Linked DNA regions of Notamacropus eugenii. The protein of the gene in region 1 interacts with the protein of each later gene in a pairwise test. Links are inferred from orthologs where the notes say so. Each region holds a gene or a part of one and is shown in the gene's direction. Other genes may lie near its edges.

Evidence for each region.
Region 2: the proteins of TNFAIP3 (region 1) and YWHAH interact in a two-hybrid assay, tested with the Homo sapiens proteins (2 studies listed by BioGRID). The link is inferred for Notamacropus eugenii from reciprocal best matches to the Homo sapiens genes TNFAIP3 and YWHAH.

Annotation. Positions count from the first base shown.
Region 1 is NC_092873.1:224,325,016-224,334,658, forward strand, and holds the start of TNFAIP3 (tumor necrosis factor alpha-induced protein 3), read left to right. Parts: upstream 1-3,645; 5' UTR 3,646-3,952; coding exon 3,953-4,027; intron 4,028-4,094; exon of another isoform or gene 4,095-4,573; intron 4,574-5,025; exon of another isoform or gene 5,026-5,365; coding exon of another isoform or gene 5,366-5,398; intron 5,399-8,677; coding exon 8,678-8,990; intron 8,991-9,643. UniProt on the Homo sapiens protein: Ubiquitin-editing enzyme that contains both ubiquitin ligase and deubiquitinase activities.
Region 2 is NC_092875.1:13,205,256-13,214,898, reverse strand, and holds the start of YWHAH (14-3-3 protein eta), read left to right. Parts: upstream 1-3,561; 5' UTR 3,562-3,854; coding exon 3,855-3,941; intron 3,942-9,643. UniProt on the Homo sapiens protein: Adapter protein implicated in the regulation of a large spectrum of both general and specialized signaling pathways. Binds to a large number of partners, usually by recognition of a phosphoserine or phosphothreonine motif.

The DNA of each region.
Region 1 (9,643 bases):
ATACTACTTGCTCCCCTTTGCCACTTCCAAGATCTCTTCCTAGCTCCATCCTTCTTTTCCCTTTGAGATTCGTGCTATTCATTTCTAGAACCCAATCAAAATCCTGATAGCTGGTATCTCCAGACCCTAGGCTTACTCCCCTGCCAAGCTTTAGTCTTGGATCACTCTCACCATTCAATGTCTTCACTCCTATATATGTGCAATTGAGCAAAGAAAGAAGGAAAAATCACTCAACTATTATGATTGGGTTCACTACAAATTTATATTATACAACCTGAAATAAGCCCTCACCACTGCTAGGCAATCCTACTATACTTCCCTTATTGATTCACTATCCTACTCTCTCAAACCACCCCTAGGTTGGACTTCCCCCAACTTCTCAGCTAAGTTCCCGATATCATATTTTACAGAAAAAAAAACTGAGGCCATTTTGTCATTCAAATGGCTTCTGCCACTATCTACTCCTGCGCTTCTGTCTCACATGATGAGATGGCCTTACTTCTTACTAAAGGTAACCCTTTTTGCCTGTTTAATCAATCCCATTGCTTCCTATCTCCTCCGACAGTCATCCCCACTCTATCAGTTATTTTTAATCTCTCCCTGTCTATAGGCTCATTCCCTATGGCCTACAAATATGCCCACTTCTCTTGCATCCTCAAAAACAACAACAACCCTTGACCATCCCCTCTATCTAACCACTTTCCTTCCCTACTCTTCTTACCTGCTTACAATTCAGTTTCTGACCTTATCATTCCACTTAAACTGCTCTCTGCAAAATTACCAATCCACTGCCAAATCTAGTGGCCTTTTCCAGTCCTCAATCTCCTTGATCTCTCTGCAGCCTTTGAAAATGTTGATGACTTTCTCCATCTTAATTTCTCTTTTCTCGAGGTTTTTAGAACACTGGTCTCTCCTGGTTCTCCTTCAGCCTATCTGACTGCTCCTTCTCAGTCTCCTTTGCTGAATCCGCATCCAGATCATGACTTCTAAGGTGTGCCTGAGGTGTTCCTCCAGGTTCTGTCTCGGGCCTCTTCTCTTCTCCCTCTACACTACTATACTTGATGATCTCACCAGCTCCAGTGGATTTAATTGCTGTCTTGATGATGAGGATGATTCTCAAATCTACCTATCCTGTCCCAAACCCTCAGCTGGCCTCCAGTTTCCCATATCCAAATGCCTTTCAGACATTTCAAACTAGATGTCCTGTATACATTTTAAGCTAAAATGTCCAAAACAGAAATCATTATCTTTCCCCTTAAACCGTCCCCCTCTCTCACCTTCCCTATTACTATAGAGAGCAACACAATCTTCCTAGTCCCTCAGGCTCCCAACCTAGAAGTTATCATGGACTCCTCACTATCTCTCCCTCCCTGTAACCAATCTGTTAACAAAGTCTATGGATTTTGACTTTGTAGTACCAGTGGTATATGCCTCTTTCTGATACTGCTACCACTCTAATGGAGGCCATCATCCCTTCATGCCTGGATTATGCAATGGCCTGCCTGCTGGTGGGTCTATCTGCCTCAAATCTCTCTCCACTCCAATCCATCCTCTTTTCAGTCACCAAAGTGATTTTCCTAAAGAGTAGGTGCAACCAAGACACTCCCCTACTCTATAAATATCATTAGCTCCCTATCACCTCCGAGATCAAAATCAAAATGTTCTGGGCATTCAAAACCCTTCATAAACTCAATGTTTTCTACCATTTCAGTCTTCTTCCACCTTACTCCCCCCACCAGGTATACTTTGATTCAGTGACACTGGCCTCCTGGCTGTTCCACAGACAAGACCCCTCATCTCTTGGCTGGAGTATTTTCTCTGGCTGTCATCCATGTCTGGGATGCTCTCTCTCTTCAACTCCACCCACTGATTTCCCTGATTTCCTTTAAGTCCCAACTGAAATCCCATTTTTACAGGAAGTCTCTCCCAATGCCTCTAAATTCTAGTGGCTTCCATTTCTTAATTATTTCCTATTTACCTTGCATATAGCTTTGTATATATTTGCTTACATGTTGCATCCTCCATTAGATTATAAGCTCCTGGAAAGCAGGGACCATCTTTTGCCTTTTTTTGCATCTCCAGTGCTTAACATAATGCTTGGTACATAGGAGCTGTTTAATAAATATTGACTGACATAGATTGAGAACTTTGAGGGATCTTAGAAACCATCTAATCTCATTTTCTCAAGGAATTTACAATCATTTGGGAGAAATAAGTCCAACTCATAACACAGCTAATGATTTACTATCATGTATAATTATGTACCAAAGTAGATGGTACAGACCATAAGTATATTCCAGCATTATGCACATTATCAATACTCAATAAGTGATGTGGGTTGACATACTTTAAACGTGAGCATTGCACAATAAATGGCATATATTTGAATGCCAATGCCTGGGAGAAAAGTTTTTAGCATAAAAATGTCCAACAGACGCCTCCATCAGTGATTCTCACTATGAGAATAAATCTTGATAGCTTTTTCAGTAAAAAACAATACATTTTGATTGATTGACAATGCTTGAAAGTGTTTTGTGCCCTTTCCATACACATAGGCTATTATTCTGGCCACTACTACCAGTAATAATAATTGTGATAGATACTGAATCTCTGATTCCATTGATACAGAGAACTCCCTTTGCCAATGCAGGTAATACCTTCTCTTCAACTTTGCCTTCCAGGTTAAATGACTTGACCTGGGTCACATTCAATACATGCCTTAGGCAGGATTTAAAACCTATAGATTTTAGCTTCTGAACTATCCTACCTATAAGGATGATGATGATGATGATGGTGGTGGCGGTGATGATGGTGGTGATGGTGGTGATGATGGTGATGGTGGTGGTGATGATGATGGTGGTGGTGGTGGTGGTGGTGATGGTGGTGGTGATGATAATGATGGTGGTGGTGATGATGATGGTGGTGGTGGTGGTAGTAGTGGTGGTGATGATGGTGGGGATGATGGTGGTGGTGGTGGTGGTGGTGGTGATGATGATGATGATGATGGCGGTGGTGGTGGTAGTAGTGGTGGTGATGATGGTGGTAGTAGTGGTGGTGATGATGGTGGGGATGATGGTGGTGGTGGTGGTGGTGGTGATGGTGGTGATGATGATGGTGGGGATGATGGTGATGGTGGTGGTGGTGGTGATGGTGGTGATGATGGTGGTGGTGGTGGTTTTTTACTAGAAAAAGCCAGGATCTAATCCAGTCTTTGGGCTGGACCTTGGGCAAGTCACTCAAGGCTCTTGGCCACTCTCTGAGATGACAGCTGTCAGAGAAGGTGCCAACCTGCCTCGGTGGATGGAGTTTCCTCTTTCGGCAGTTCCCTGCATCAGTCATATCACAGTCCCTGTCACTATCGCCAATAAATTTATCAGTCACCAGCTGGGGGTTTTCTAAGGAAGCTGACACAGGACTCCTTGGAGGTCAGAAAAAGGTTTGAGAGAACGGGGTACTTTTGGGTGGAGGTGGGTGGGGGGTCCCAATGAGGCACCTTGGTGACGATGCAGAATCACGGGCTGGGGCTTCGGTGAGGAGCAGGGAGAAGGGGGTGCTGCGGTCCAGCACGTCCCAATCCCCCCGTGGGGCTGAAATCCGGGAGAGCTCCGCATCTCGGCCCGGGTCTGCCTCCTGGGGGGTGTGGCTACGGGGCACCGATGGCTGGGGAGCCCGGACGGAGGAGGCGAAGGCACCGTGACACCCCCTGCCCCCGCCCGGGATTCCTGGACAACTCCCTCGAGCACCGAGGGCCCTTCCCGAGCAAGCGGCCCCCGGACGCCCCCGGGGAGGCAGTCATCGGCGGGGGCGGAACCGAGGCCTTTCTTTCCACGTTTCCCCCTCCCTCCGCTTTTTTGTTCTTCTCCAAAGTAGGTGATTTTTGTTTTTATTTTTTGAAGAAAAACGACGGCGAAAAAAAAAGAACCGTCTTCATTCCCATCACCGCGATTTCCACATGGACATGACGTCCGGCCGGCGCTTCCGAAATGCCCAGGTTGAGTCACGCGGGGACAACCCCGGCTTTGAAAGGGTGAGGAATTTTTCGGGCCCCCCGGGCCCCTGCGGGAGCCCCCTGGTGGCCGGCGGTGCGCGGCCTGCCCGGGGCAGAGCCCTTTGCACCCGCGCCCGCCCCGGTCCGAGTGCTCTGCAGAGAGCCGCCGCTGGGCGTCACAGTCACATGTCGGAAAGTCCCAGCGCCCAGGCTGGAAATCCCCGGGCTCATATATTATTACCCTGGCTAAAAGAAAGGAAAAAGGAGAACTGGCGCAGTCGTTCTAGGATCTAGGCTCTAGGATCTAGGATCTAGGCTAGGAGCCGGCGGGGGTGGAGCAGCTGGGAGAGCAGGCCGGCGGCGGAGGAGGAGAGTCCTAGTCCGGGAGCGGTGACGGCAGTGGAGGCGGCCGGAGGCCGGCCCGGCCGGACTTAGCGCAGCCGAGCCCCAGGCTGCCTGCCTGCCTGCCTGCCCATGGAGCGCCCCGCCGCTACGACCTTCACGTCGGCCCCGGGCCTGCTCGTGCACTAAATATTCGGGACTTTGGCGTTTCGTTGGGAGCTCGCTCGCTGCTGCTTCGCCAAGGTAACCCCGACCTACCTCTGCGCCCCCAAACCTTGCAGGGGAGTGGGCGCGATCCGGCCGCACGAGGGTGGCACGGACCTTGACCCCTGGCTTGCAGCTTGTGGTGGTGATGGGGCGGGGAGGGGAGGAGGGCAGGCCGGGGCGGGGGGCGCCTCCGGATCCCCCCGAAGGGCTGCGCCTTTAAGATGAATTAGAGATCGTGCGGAGACCTTTAGCTGCAAAGGGACGGAACGTTAGCTAGAGTCGTGGAAGCGCCGACTTTAGAAGCTAGCAATTAGAAGTCACGCAGGGGGATTCCACCTTGTCCGCCCAGGGCCACGGAGAGCGCGGAGAACGCGGCATTCCCCGCGGTGCAGAGCGCAGAGGCGGAGGACGCTGCGGCGCGCCCCCGGGCCGCGCCTCCCCGGGCCGCGCCTCCCCGGGGCCTTGGCGGACGGGGTCGGCTTCTTGGCTTTCTAAAGCTCCGCAGACGCTGAAAGCCCTGCCCCCCCCAGCCCTGGTCAGCCAGCTTCGCCGGGCTGGCTTGTCCCACATCCTGCCACCTGGCCTCTTCAGGACGGCCGGGGCATGAAGGACTGGCCTGAGGCCGGAGCCCGCTGCCTGCAGCTCTCTTCTCCTAGGGAAACCAGGCTGATAAAGGGCTTCAGAAGCTGGCTGTCCTTCCCCTCGATGGAAGCCCTGAAGTCTTGAGACATGAACAGGGAAAGATTTAAGAGATGATGACACAGATCTTTAACACTGGAAGGAAAGAAAAGAGTGATTGCTTTGGGGGAAACTGAGGCACAGTGCTGCATGTATGAAGCAATTGTTGAACCCGTGCTAAGGGTAAGGCGTCGTGCTGGCTGCTCTAAAGGATCCAAAGACCAGGTTGTGGGCCAGTCAGTGATGCAGATATTCTAGTCTAATGCACCGGACCTTGCCTCCAGCAGTTTGGGGAATTTAAGGCTTTGGAGGAGTGCTTTCCAGAATGGAATTGGGGTTTTCGTTGATACAGTTCACAGATTTCCATCTCGCATGCCAAAGCACCTGTGCAAAATGGAAAAAGAAAAAGAAAAACCAAAAGGAAAAAAGAGGAGGCTTCTAGATATGAATAACTTCTAAAGAATTTTGTAGTTCCCAGTGACAGAATTTGGGGAAATTTTTGTGAAATGAGTCAAAGAAATATTACAAAACATCACCTTTTTTTTTTTACATATTCATAAGACTATTTTCTTGTCTTCTACAAGTGTATAACCATCTGTTTTTAGAAATGTTTACTCCGTGGCCCCATCTGGAGTGAGGTCTAAGAACTGGAAATTTGGAAGGGGGTATTTTTGTTTGTTTCAGTGGGTAGTTTTTGGAGGATGAAGGACTGCGGTAAATGGTTGAGTTGGTTCATGTTCTCGAATATTGATGTTAAGATGGGTTTGTGTGGATGTATTTTGGCTCTCACAATTTAAGGAAGACCTCTGGGACTAGAAGAAGCAGTGAATAAAAGGGTGATTCATTCTTCACATGTTTTCAGGACTCTTTAAAGGCCTTTTTATGGTGACCCATTTTTAAGTGATCTAAGATTTACAAAACATTTCACTCAGAGCCATTCTGTCAGGGAGGTCATGTAAGTGTTAAGTCTTCCTTTTTTATAGATGAAGTTAAGATCCAAATAGTGCAAGTGATTTGCCAGGATGCAAGCCAAGACCTCCTCTCTCCAAGGGATTTAGTGCTGCCCATCTTATTTCCCTCGAAGGTTAGAGTTTTATAAACATGTTTCTGATGGAGAAATCAAGGACATTTTGAAAGACCACACTTGCAGCCTTCAGTCTCCCTGCTATCGAGAGAGAAAAACACTTTAACATTTGGCTGAGGGAAGGAAAAATTATTCACCTGAAATCACATATAGCAATGTCAAATTGAAATTGAAGTCATTGAAAAAAATTCCACTAGAGAAAAACCTTTTACATTTTTTATAATAATAATAATGAAAGAAGTGTCAGGGTTCATAGTGATCACCATAATTTGAAATCCTATAGGGTAGCAGATGTCTACATTACTTAATACCTTATGCATTATGATAGGCCAAAGTAGCAAGCAAGGATCTCAGCATCCCTAAGATATATGTATATTTGCCTTGGAAGGTAGGTTAGCTTTCAGCCTTGGAAGAGTGCTGTGAAAAGGCTTTCTTGATACAGTACCAGAGCCAACTCATTCTTGATGCATATCTTTGTCACCTTGAAGGTTCAGGAGTCATATAAAGAAAGGGAGATACTTTGAGACTACCTGGGGAAATACCGGGATAATTGGGAAATGTTTGGGGATTTTCATTGTCTTTTTTTTTTTTTTTTTTTTAGTAATATGTGATGATAGGAAAAGGAAGCAATGAAAACACCTGGTGCTTGCACCACTATGACTCGTTAGCCAAAATGGGTTTGGTAGCTAGAACCTAAAATCACCCTAGCTAGAAGATAATCTCTGCTGGCCTCCCTGCTTCTCCATATTTCTTATGTTTTGCTCTTTCCATTTCCTCTTCATGGCCCTCATTTTCCTGTACTGTTTGATTAGGTGTGAAGGCCCCTGGGGGGTGAAAAAGAGAGCCAGTAGTTGGCATCTGGAGTACCAGCTTTTATTGATTTGGAGATGAATAATAATTGAACTCCAATTCTAACTATTACAGTTGCTTAATTCTTATAGACCAGTGTGTCACCTGAGGGATCCTGGGGACCTTCTGAAGCATTATTGACTGCCTACTCTGTATACCAATTTTTAGTATATTAGAAATTTAATCTCCTTGAAAGTAGGAATTGTTGCTTTCATCGAACTTTTTTATTCCCAACACCTAGCATCATGCCCAGCAAATAATAAATACTTGTTGTTTGACTGATCAGGAAGATGGTTTGGCATATTGAATAAAGTTACAAGACTGGGGAGTCAGGAAGATTCCTTGGCTCTTGTGCTCCCTGACTGTGCACCTTGAGCAAATCATTTAACCTAGTTCCTCTTCCTCAGTTTCCTCATCTATAATATGGAGGCTAATAATACTTCTAATAATAAGAGCATCACTTCATGGGAGTATTTCTAAGCTCCAGAGAAATATAAGTGGAGGTAGAAGACAGTCTGGTACAGTGGAAAGGCTTTAGACTCAGGACCTAGGTTTAAATCCTCCCTGAGTCACTACTTATGTGATTGTGGGCAAGTCACTTACTTAACTCTCTAGGCCTCAGTTTCCTCATCTCTGAAGGGAAGGGGTTGGACTAAATGGCCTATCTAAGGTTTCCCTCCCACCCAACTCTAAATCTATAATGAAAAAAAGAAATTCTAAAAAATAAAATATGTTATGGCTTATATATTCTTCTAGTTTAATGTACTTGACTCTGCCTCCAGCAGTTCTTGGTATACAATATGGGAATTTTACAGTTTTGGATTAGTGCTTTCCAAAAATGGAGTTGGGGAATATATGAGGGGAGGATGTCAGGTATTGTTTTTGAGAGACATTTTCATCATCAGTGGTTCAATGGCACTGAACCTCAAATTTCCTTATAAATGTTTTAGGCCCTAAAAAAGAAGAAATGATCAGTGTGTTTGATGCTTTTGTAAAAGCATTGTTTTCACTTTCCATACCAGTAAAGAAATAAAGGGCTTAAGTTCTAAATGGCAACAACCTAGCAGCGATAGGATCTCTTGGTTGTTACTTGGGGGTGGGCCTACAGGCAACCAGTGGCCACTGATGTTTTATGATTCTGAGTAGTTAGTTTTTGGTGAACCTCATTCCCCTGCATCAGAGTCAGAACCAATGATGAGACATACACTGTATACCTTTGCTCCCAGGCGGGATTGGCTGTGTGACAGGCATTACTTAAACATGGGTTATTCCCCTCCTCCTCAATGCCCACTCTCCTTCTTCCTACTCTAGTACAGATTAATCTTTAAAAGTGATGTAACTTGCAAGAGTCCAGTGTTAGTAAAACTTCAGTACCAACAAGCGTCCTGGGAGTAGATACGACTGGGATTCCAATTAGTTGCCTCCATATTAAGGTAGTGGCAGGATTTGAACTCTGACTTTTTTATAGGTAGATATATTAAGGCTAACCTAACAGATTGGGTTTTTTTGTTTTGTTTTTTCCTTCTCAGGTATTCTACAGCAACATGGCTGAACAGCAGGTTCTTCCCCAGTCTTTGTATCTGAGCAACATGCGGAAATCTGTGAAGATAAGAGAGAGAGCTCCAGAAGATATTGTCAGACCTACCAATGGGATAATTTATCACTTTAAGACCATGCACAGATATACAGTGGAGATGTTCCGGACTTGTCAGTTTTGTCCTCAATTCCGGGAGTTTATCCTTGTTGCTCTGATTGACAGAAATATCCAGACTTCACTAGAAAGACAAAGAAAACTCAACTGGTGCCGTGAAGTCAGAAAGCTTGTGGCACTAAAAACGAATGGTAAGTCTGAGGTCCCTTCCAGCCCTGAGTTTGGATTGATCCTGGGACTCCCAATAAAGGATTCTGATTAAGGTTTTGGGGGTGGGAGGGTTATGACAAGATGAGACTCCCATGTGGATCTGTTTATGTGCATTAGCTAAACGTCCCTTATAATCAAATGTAAAATGCCTAACTGGATGGTTCAGCTGGCATGGGAACCTCACTAAGGGGTGTCCTAAGCAGGAGGTGATTTTGTTTTGTGTTGTGTTGTTTTATAAAGGAAATGTTTTCTAATAAAACATGTTAGAGTAGAGAACATTTGGAGGATTAAGAGAATTGGGCTAGAGCCCTTTTATGTGATGTGTGACCTTGGGCAAATCATCTACTTACTTTTGTACATCTAGTTTACCACCTGTAAAAAATGCCAATTGTGGCCCTAGTAAACAAGGTTTTAAAGAACTCAGGGGCTCCCTGAAATCTCTCTGCATAGTCTTGGTCTATGATGCCCAGGTTGAGAATTGCTGCTCTAAGGCCTTTTCCAGCTTTAATCTACAATCTGATGATTTCTTACTCTTTGACTGAGAAATAATAGAAATATGTCAGATTTTTTACCTACTTTTGAGCTTTTCTCCATTGATCGTTGCTTGTGATCTTTATTCCTGGCATATTTGGTC
Region 2 (9,643 bases), on another chromosome or scaffold:
ATGCTTTGTATTGATTAATGGACCTTGGTTGGATCGCAAGAAGAGAGGGGGAGGGGGCTGTTGGTTCTAGGGTTGGTTCTGTATATGGTCCTGGGGAAATGAGACCCTGTAAGGATAGAATAGTATGGACATCAGGCCCAAGAGAAGGGCTGCTGGGGAGCCTGCACCACTCACCTTACCTTGGCTTCCCTGTCCTATGTGAGGCCTAGAAAAGGAAATAGGATTGAGGTTAGAAAACCAGGCTGTTCCTTCCCCACTGAAGCTGCAAAGTGAGGCCCACATCATAATTACTATTGCATTCCAGCTTTCCTGGGAGATTGGATGGAGGCAGCTTCCCTCTGCTCACCCTGAACCACAGCAGCAGACATGGTGAGCTGGAAGGGGCCACAGCAACAGTTTGGCTGGATGTCTCCATTTTACAGGTGTGGAAAATGAGTCTCAGGGAGGTCACAGAGAGACTTTCATGAGGCCCCACAAGCAGCAAAACTGGGATTTGAACCCAAAGTCTTCTAGGTCCATATTTCTGTCTTCTTCCAAGGCACCACACTGCTTCCCATGGCAACTGTGACGGAATCATTCGGTAACTGAGAAAAATTGCTGGAGGTGTTGGTGTGCTTTGGGTAATACTTTGGATGGCTGTCAGCATCTCTGCAATCAGCCCCCTTCTCTTCTCTGACCCTGCTCCCACCCAGCGGCCCCCAACACTGACCACCTGGGCTACGGCCCAAGCTGCAGGGCTGCCTCCCTAATCTCTCCCCCTCTAGTCCAGCCTCCATTCAGCCACTAAACTGAAGTCTGACCTGGACACTCCCCTGTTCAACAAGCTCCAGTGGCTCCCTAGGGCCTCCAGAATAAAATCTAATCAAATCCTGTTTGCTATTCAAAGTCCTACATCACCTGCCTCATGCCCACTGCCTATTACTCCCCTCCAAGTACTCTGGAACCCGGTCCTGTTGGTTTCTAGCACAGAATGTCAGGGTTGAGAGGGGCCTCAGAATAGGGGATGTCAGGGCTGGGAGGGGCCTTAGAACAGGGGAGGTCAGGGCTGGGAGGGGTCTCAGAACAGGGGGTGTCAGGGCTGGAGGGGCCTGAGAACAGGGGGTGTCAGGGCTGGAGGGACCTCAGAACAGGGGGTGTCAGGGCTGGGAGGGGCCTCAGGCCAGGGGAGGTCAGGGCTGGAGGGGCCTCAGAACAGGGGGTGTCAGGGCTGGGAGGGGTCTCAGAACAGGGGGTGTCAGGGCTGGAGGGGCCTCAGAACAGGGGGTGTCAGGGCTGGGAGGGGCCTCAGGCCAGGGGGGGTCAGGGCTGGAGGGGTCTCAGAACAGGGGGTGTCAGGGCTGGAGGGGTCTCAGAACAGGGGGTGTCAGGGCTGGGAGGGGTCTCAGAACAGGGGGTGTCAGGGTTGGGAGGGGCCTTAGAACAGGGGATGTCAGGGCTGGGAGGGGCCTCATACCAGGGGAGGTCAGGGCTGGGAGGGGTCTCAGAACAGGGGGTGTCAGGGCTGGAGGGGCCTCAGGCCAGGGGGGGTCAGGGCTGGAGGGGCCTCAGGCCAGGGGGGTCAGGGCTGGAGGGGCCTCAGGCCAGGGGAGGTCAGGGCTGGAGGGGCCTCAGAACAGGGGAGGTCAGGGCTGGAGGGGTCTCAGGCCAGGGGAGGTCAGGGCTGGAGGGGTCTCAGGCCAGGGGGTGTCAGGGTTGGGAGGGGCCTTAGAACAGGGGATGTCAGGGCTGGGAGGGGCCTCATACCAGGGGAGGTCAGGGCTGGAGGGGCCTCATACCAGGGGAGGTCAGGGCTGGAGGGGCCTGAGAACAGGGGGTGTCAGGGCTGGAGGGGTCTCAGAACAGGGGATGTCAGGGCTGGGAGGGGGCTCAGAACAGGGGGTGTCAGGGCTGGGAGGGGTCTCAGAACAGGGGGTGTCAGGGCTGGAGGGGTCTCAGAACAGGGGGTGTCAGGGCTGGAGGGGTCTCAGAACAGGGGGTGTCAGGGCTGGAGGGGTCTCAGAACAGGGGGTGTCAGGGCTGGAGGGGCCTCAGAACAGGGGGTGTCAGGGCTGGAGGGGCCTCAGGCCAGGGGAGGTCAGGGCTGGGAGGGGTCTCAGAACAGGGGGTGTCAGGGCTGGAGGGGGCTCAGAACAGGGGGTGTCAGGGTTGGGAGGGGCCTCAGAACAGGGGGTGTCAGGGTTGGGAGGGGCCTCAGAACAGGGGGTGTCAGGGCTGGAGGGGGCTCAGAACAGGGGGTGTCAGGGCTGGAGGGGTCTCAGAACAGGGGGTGTCAGGGCTGGAGGGGTCTCAGAACAGGGGGTGTCAGGGCTGGAGGGGTCTCAGAACAGGGGGTGTCAGGGCTGGAGGGGTCTCAGAACAGGGGGTGTCAGGGCTGGAGGGGCCTCAGAACAGGGGGTGTCAGGGCTGGAGGGGCCTCAGGCCAGGGGAGGTCAGGGCTGGGAGGGGTCTCAGAACAGGGGGTGTCAGGGCTGGAGGGGGCTCAGAACAGGGGGTGTCAGGGCTGGGAGGGGCCTGAGAACAGGGGGTGTCAGGGTTGGGAGGGGCCTCAGAACAGGGGGTGTCAGGGCTGGAGGGGGCTCAGAACAGGGGGTGTCAGGGCTGGAGGGGTCTCAGAACAGGGGGTGTCAGGGCTGGAGGGGTCTCAGAACAGGGGGTGTCAGGGCTGGAGGGGCCTCAGAACAGGGGGTGTCAGGGCTGGAGGGGTCTCAGAACAGGGGGTGTCAGGGCTGGAGGGGCCTCAGAACAGGGGGTGTCAGGGCTGGGAGGGGGCTCAGAACAGGGGGTGTCAGGGCTGGAGGGGTCTCAGAACAAGGGGTGTCAGGGCTGGGAGGGGGCTCAGAACAGGGGGTGTCAGGGCTGGAGGGGGCTCAGAACAGGGGGTGTCAGGGCTGGAGGGGGCTCAGAACAGGGGAGGTCAGGGCTGGAGGGGCCTGAGAGATGCTCGGCAGCAGAGTGTCTCCCTCGGTCTTGTCCAGGACCCCTCGGGCAGTGCGTGAAGCCCATGGGCCCTTCTCGGGGCACGAGAAGCCTGTTCTTACTGAAGTCCTTTAACACCCACATATACATGCACGTACATCTCACTGTAACATTGTAACTATCATCATAACCCTCTATTACATATATTACACACAGATAGAGAACAGCCATCTGTAGCTCTCGCCCGCCCTGCGGTGGGGGCAGGGCTCCGGCCAAGGTTAGCAGAGCAGGGCGGCTCCCGGCCCCCCGCCGAGCGCTCCCGCTCCGCAGTCCCCGCCCCTCCAGGCTCCCACCTCCACCTTTGCCGCACCAAACTGCACCACGGACAGGGCGCATGCGTCCGGCTCGGCTCCGGCCGGGCGGGGCCGCGGAGAGCGCGGAGGCGCTATTTCTAGCGGGTGACGTCACCCAGAAGTCGCCCTTCTGGGCGGGCCCGCCCGCCCTCCCCCTCTCCCCGTGGGCGGGGCTCCGCGCCGGCGGGCCGGGCGGTGCGCACTGCGCAGGCGCACAGGGCGCGCCCGCCGCCTCCCGCCCGCGGCCCTGCCCCCGAGCCGGCCCCTCCTCCTGCTCCCCGCCCCTCCCGCCCGGCCGCGGCAGCCTCAGCCTGGCTTCGGCGGCGGCAGCAGCGCCAGCCCGTCAGAGCAGCGGCGGCGGCGGCGGCGCGAGCCTCCCTCTCCTCGCCCTCCGCTCCCTCGCCTCGGCCCCGCGCTCTCCCCGTCGGGCCGCGGCCCCAGCCCGGGAGCCGCCCGAGCCGAGCCGGAGCCGCCCGAGGCGCGGGCGCACGTGGCCGAGGAGCCCAGCCCAGGCCGGCCGGGCCTGACGAGGAGCCGCGGGGCGGCGGCGGCGGAGCGGCCCGAGCGGGCGGCGGGAGCGGCGGCATGGGGGACCGGGAGCAGCTGCTGCAGCGCGCGCGGCTGGCCGAGCAGGCGGAGCGCTACGACGACATGGCCTCCGCCATGAAGGCGGTGAGTGCGCGTGCGCGGGCGGCGGGGGCGCGCGGGGCGGCCGGGAGCGCGCGGGAGGGGCGGGGGCGGGGGCGGGCTGGGCCCCCCGCGGAGGCCCGGGGTCGTTTGCTGCGGGTCCGCAGCCCGCGCTCCCTGCCCCCCGATGCCCCTCCCGCCCAGGCTCAGCCCCCAGCGCATCCCCCTCCGTGCCCCCCGCCTTGGGACGCTCCCGGAGGTCCCTGAGCCCGGGCTGGGGGAGGGGCGGCCGGCCGGGCCGAGCCCGCCTTTGGCAGGCCTTGGCGCCCTGTCACCCCGCTGCTGCCCCTGTACCCCAGCGGGGGCCCTCAGGTTTGAGGTGCCACTTGGTGTCTGCGGGGGGCTGCAGCTGGCCACGCCCTGCCTGGGGTCCCCCGCGGTGCGTGCATCCCCCTTGGTCCGGCTCTCCGCGGTGCTGCGAGCCCAGCCGTGCCCAGAAGAGGGTTCCCGCACCCGCCTCTTCGGGGGGCCCAGAGAACTGGGAGTCCTCCCTGTCCTCACGTGCCGGCCCTCCGCCTGGCCTGTAGAGGTGCTCGGGGGCAGCGCCCCCAGCCCGGGCACGCGGGTTTGGGGCATCTTAGAGCCGGAGGAGACTCAGTCCTTAAGCACTTACGAAGTGCCCACTGTGTGCCCTGGGGGCACAAAAAGGGGAAAGACAGGCCCTGTCCTCGGGAGCTCCTAACCTGCTGGCCTCTGCCCGGGGCAGAGGTGGGGGCTCCTCCCTGGGTGTGTCTGCCCCATCACCATCTTTCCCCAGGTTCTCCTGCCCTCCCTCTTCCCAGGCCCCCCATTGGTGACCTTGGCATCCCCCTTGACTGTGCCCAAGCCTTGGCTCCCTGCTGGTGGTGACACACCCTGGCTCCAGCCTCCCTGGCGCTTCTGGGAGCCCCCCCAGTCCGACTCCCACCTGCCTCCCATGCTCTACCCTGGGCACCCCCGTCCCTGGCTGTACCCCACCTTCTGCATCAGCTTCCGCCATTGGGGAATTGATCATTGTTCAGTCTGGCCTTCTTACTGAAGTAGTTGTGAGAGAACTGGGCTTCCTCTCACTGACCACCTAGAAGACCCCCCAGCTCTTCTCTCCCTTTTCCCCACCCCCTAAAGCCGCCCAGAGCCTCCATCTTCTTTTGAGACTTGGTTCTTCTGAAAACCCTCCTGGTCTTGGAGACCAGACTTCTTCCTTCCCAAATTATCTTGTATTTCATTATCAGGATGTTGGCACTTTGATGCGTCAGAGGGCAGGCCCCGTTTCAGTTTGTGTCTTTGTGGGTAAGGGGCCCCGCACACACATGGTAGTAGGTGCCTCCGGTGTGGGTCTGAATGGAGGCAGCCCTTTCCGTTGTCGGACACCTCTTATTGTTTGGTGGCTGTCTTACTCTGAATGGCCTGCCGCTTAGAGCTCTCCACCCCAGCTCTGTGGGCTGGCAGCCTGTGGTGAGCGGTTTGCTGAGGGGCTTTGGGGCTGTATGGATTTCATCTTTTTTTTCCACATGATAAAATGTCACACTGCAGACAGGGACCTTTCTAGGGCTGATGCTCTGGTGTCGGATTTAGGGGCTCTTCCCCCTTTCCTGTGGGAATCCTTGATCCCACAAGGTCTGAAGAGAATGCCCAGTGGTCAGAAGGAGGGTGAAACTGTTCAAGGGAGCCCAGAGGGAGGGGCTGGGTTGGGAGTTCAGGTGTGGCTCTGCTGGTGACCAAGGTGACCTTGGGCAGGTCCCTGACTTTCCCTGAGCCCCAGTGTCCAAAGCTGCAGAGTGGAAGTTAGGAGGAGGGGGCAGGGCTAGAATACTCAACTCTCTTAGCTTTAACATATTGTGATTTTAAGAGGGCAGGAAAATGAAGGCAGGATCACCCAAGCAGAGATTGAAGACGCCTGAAAGACCACCCCACCTGTGCCCTTAGTTTCAGTCTGAGGCCTCAAGAGGTTGAGGGCTGTGTTCAAGGTCACACAGAGGCAGGACCTGAACACAGGGCCACTCTGGCTCCAGAATCTTTTGAGAAACTGACTGAATGGGGATAGCATTTGGGATTTCCCAGGCCCCTGACAGACATTTGAGGGCTCTAGAACATTGAGTGCTGTTTGGAAAGCAGAAAGAATGGGACCCCACATCCTCCTCACAAGAAGATGGAGGACCCCACCCTGCAAGCCTGATCCTATTACTCAGCAGTTTTGTAAGGAGGCTTTAATTTAGCTTCTTGCAGATTAATGGGCCCGTCACTGTCCTGGGAATAGTCTTCCTCCGAGATGATTGATTTTTTTTTTTTTGGACAAGTCATTCCAGTTATTCAAACGTCACTTTTCCCAGGATGATTCTGTTCTGTGCATTGCTTTAACATGATGCCCTATTTTTCCGTTTTCTGAATTCTGAGTTATTTCAGTTTTTTCCTAGTCAAATTACTGGGGGGATATTCATTGGAAAGAACTTGGGGAGCAGTAGACAACATATCCCCCTATTTATAAAATACATACTATTAGGGCATTCAGATGGATAGAGTGCTGGGCCTGGAGTTAGGGAGACCTGAGTTCAAATCCAACCTCAGACGGTCGCTGTGTGACCCTGGGCAAGCCACTTGACCGTGTTTGCCTCAGTTTCCTTCTCTGTAAAATGGGCTGGAAAAGGAAATGGCAAAACCACTCCAGTATCCATGCCAAAAAAAACCTCCAAAGGGGTCCTGAAGAGCCCAACAAAACTGAACAACAACAAATACATACCTTCGGGGAAGCGTCGGATGTGGACAACATCCTCACATTGGTGCCCTTGATTTCTTGTTTGTTTCCAGTTTTTGGATTTGTTCCTTGGTTGGAGTCATTACCAACCAGAGGGATCCTCTAGTTAAATTTTGAAGCAGCATAGGTGCATTTCAGACATTGGTGTCCAGATCATTCAGTAAAACAGACTTTTCCTTCCATCCATGATAGTGGTAGCTAGAGAAGGAACAATCCTGAGCTTTCTCTGTGGCCTTAACTTAGGTCCAGGCTTATTTTCTGTTCACGGAAGACAAGAGTGGTTCAGTTCAGTGAGAAGAGTGCTAGATGGAAGGTCAGAGGCCCTGGGTTCCAGTACTGTGTGACCTTGGGAAAACCACTTTACCTCAGTTTTCTCATCTGTAACATGAAGTTTTATTGGATGACCTTGGAGGGCCTTTACAGTTTGAAATCTGGGGATGGGAGTGTGCAGTTAACCCACTGACAAAGAATTAGAATAGGTAAGAGACTTGGATTTGGGAGTCAGGAGACCTGGGTTCAAGTGTTGACTCACACTTGGCGTGGTACCTTAGATAAGATCATATTTGATCTTATCCTATCTGCTTATTCTATCTGCCTCCCCTTCCCCCAGATTGAAAGCTAAAAGGGGGTGCCCTTTTGAAAAATGCTGTGGGAAATTTGCAATGGTTGTGTTCTGATAAAACTGGGAAGTTATGGAAGGTTTTTAATATTTAAGGAACTGAAGGGAGCAGACCTCTAATCAAGTTAAGGGTGATTATCCAAGATGGAAAGTGTTAATGGACAGCTAATTCCCATTGCCCAAGATTGCTCATTTTAAATTAGAATTGAGAAATGGGCATAGATTTGTATGAAATTACAAAAGCCAGTCAGAATTTACCGGAGGCAGTGTATCAGGCTGTGTCTCAAACTGGTTGTAGGTTGCACATGTATGAAGGCTGGAGAAGTTGGAATCTCTTGAGGTCTTAAAACCAAGAAATGGGAGGCACTTGAGGAAGAAGCCAGAGAGGAAGAGACCCTTGTGGGCTCAGCTGGGGCCATGAGGCTCTTGGCCCAACAGCTGGAGACAGATCATGTGACAGCAGATGAAGCAAGTGGTGTATGCACTGGGGGAGTGAGGACAGAAGCCAGCGGGGAATGCTGAGCTGCAGAAGGCACCAGTGAGGCCTTTGCACGCTGGCTGAAGCCTTGATCCTTGACTCCTGAAGGTCTGGAGCCATGTGCCTGAAACATTCTAGAAGAAAGGCTGTGAGTGAGCCCCACTTCCTACTGGCCAGTGCAGAAGGAGGGCTATAATGGCAGCTTTGTCCTGTATCTTAGGAGATCTGAGCTGGCTCTTCTTTTTTTTCACTCTCTCAAGTTGCCTGAGTTGAAAACTGGTGAGAAAGTACGATCCTCTCACCAGCGAGTGGCCTGCCTGGCAAGAGTGATGGGACCTCAGGCCCTGGGGTCTTTTTCACCTCCAGTCAGTGGAGTAGTTTAGCTTTCTCCCTTCCTGCTTTTCCTTCCATTATATAAATTCTTTTTGTTCCCCCTTGAGGAAACTCACCTACAATTACAATACTCAAAACTGACTTGTTTTCCCCTTTCGTTGGGGATTTATAATAATTATAACTGGCATTTAGATAGCCCTTTAAGATTTATAATATTGTCTCATTTGATCCTCACAAGAGCCCAGGGGAAGAAAGTGCTGTTATTATCCACAATTTTTGCAGCTGAGGAAACAAACAAGGGTTAAATGACTTGCCCTGAGTCATTAAACTAGTAAGTGTCTGAGGCAAGATTTGAACTCAGATCTTCTTCACTCCAGCCTTGGTGGTAGGTTTCACATTGGTTAATTTATGTCCTACCCCCAGTGCCTGAATTTCATGCCTTGTGTGTAGGATCCACTAAATTTAGACCTGGGAACTCTTAAGTTTGTGTATTAAAAGTAAAGCCACACCTCATATCCACATGGTAGGACACCGTTCATACTTTTCTGATAGCTGATCAGTTGTTAGGTAAGTACACACTTGAACTTCACATGTGTTGACCCTGCTTCAGGGTCCCTGTTAACTGTAAGACTACATTCAGTCAAATGTCCTTGTACTATTTGGAAACACTTTCTTGGTCTCATATATGCTAGAGTTTTAAACAAAGGAGTCCATACTCAGTCATACGTTACAGCTACTAGGACCTGAAGCCCCTAATGTGACTGCTTCTGCTTACCTTTGTCTTTTATCTGAAGTGATGACCTTTGACATAGATGTATAAGCATGGCCTTAAATTTCTAATTGTTCTTCCTGGTTTCCTTTATGTAATCACAGCAGCACAACTTACCAGCTCTAGTTTACCGTGTGGAGGGGGTCAGAAATTGGTCTGTTGTTGGACGATTCTGACCTGACAGATTGTGTGCGCTTTGTCCTTCACAGTCTCACAGAGGACCATGACTTCAGGGAGGGGATGCCATGACATGTAAGGGAATTGGATTTAAGTGAGGTAGGGCTGTGCAGAGTCACTGGCCTCACTTGCTCCTCTGGAGCCATCTGGGTCCAGTGGCCAGATACAGAATAGGATAATGGAGCAATTCCACAGGACTGGACCTGGAAGCAGTCACAGGCCTCATCTGCCTCTTAGTTCTTTACTTCAAAAAAATCTTTTTAGGCCTTTAAAATTTATTTTTAGAATTTTTATTGATGTCCGTTGTTTTTCAGCCACCTACCTCATCCTTTCTCAGATCACAAAAGTAATTGATAGATCAGCCAGTTGAGAAAATCTGTGGAGCAAATGCCTTTCCCCCTCCGCTTCTCTTGCAGGGAGTGGAGAAGTGTGTTTTCACTATTCCTCTTCCTTCCAGTTACATTATTGGAGTTCTTATTCATTTTGCATCAGTCAATAGAAATCTTCTCATGATTCTCTCTCCAAATCCCCTTTTCTTGTAGATTGGCCATGTTCCATTATGTTCAGGTACTCTGTCTTA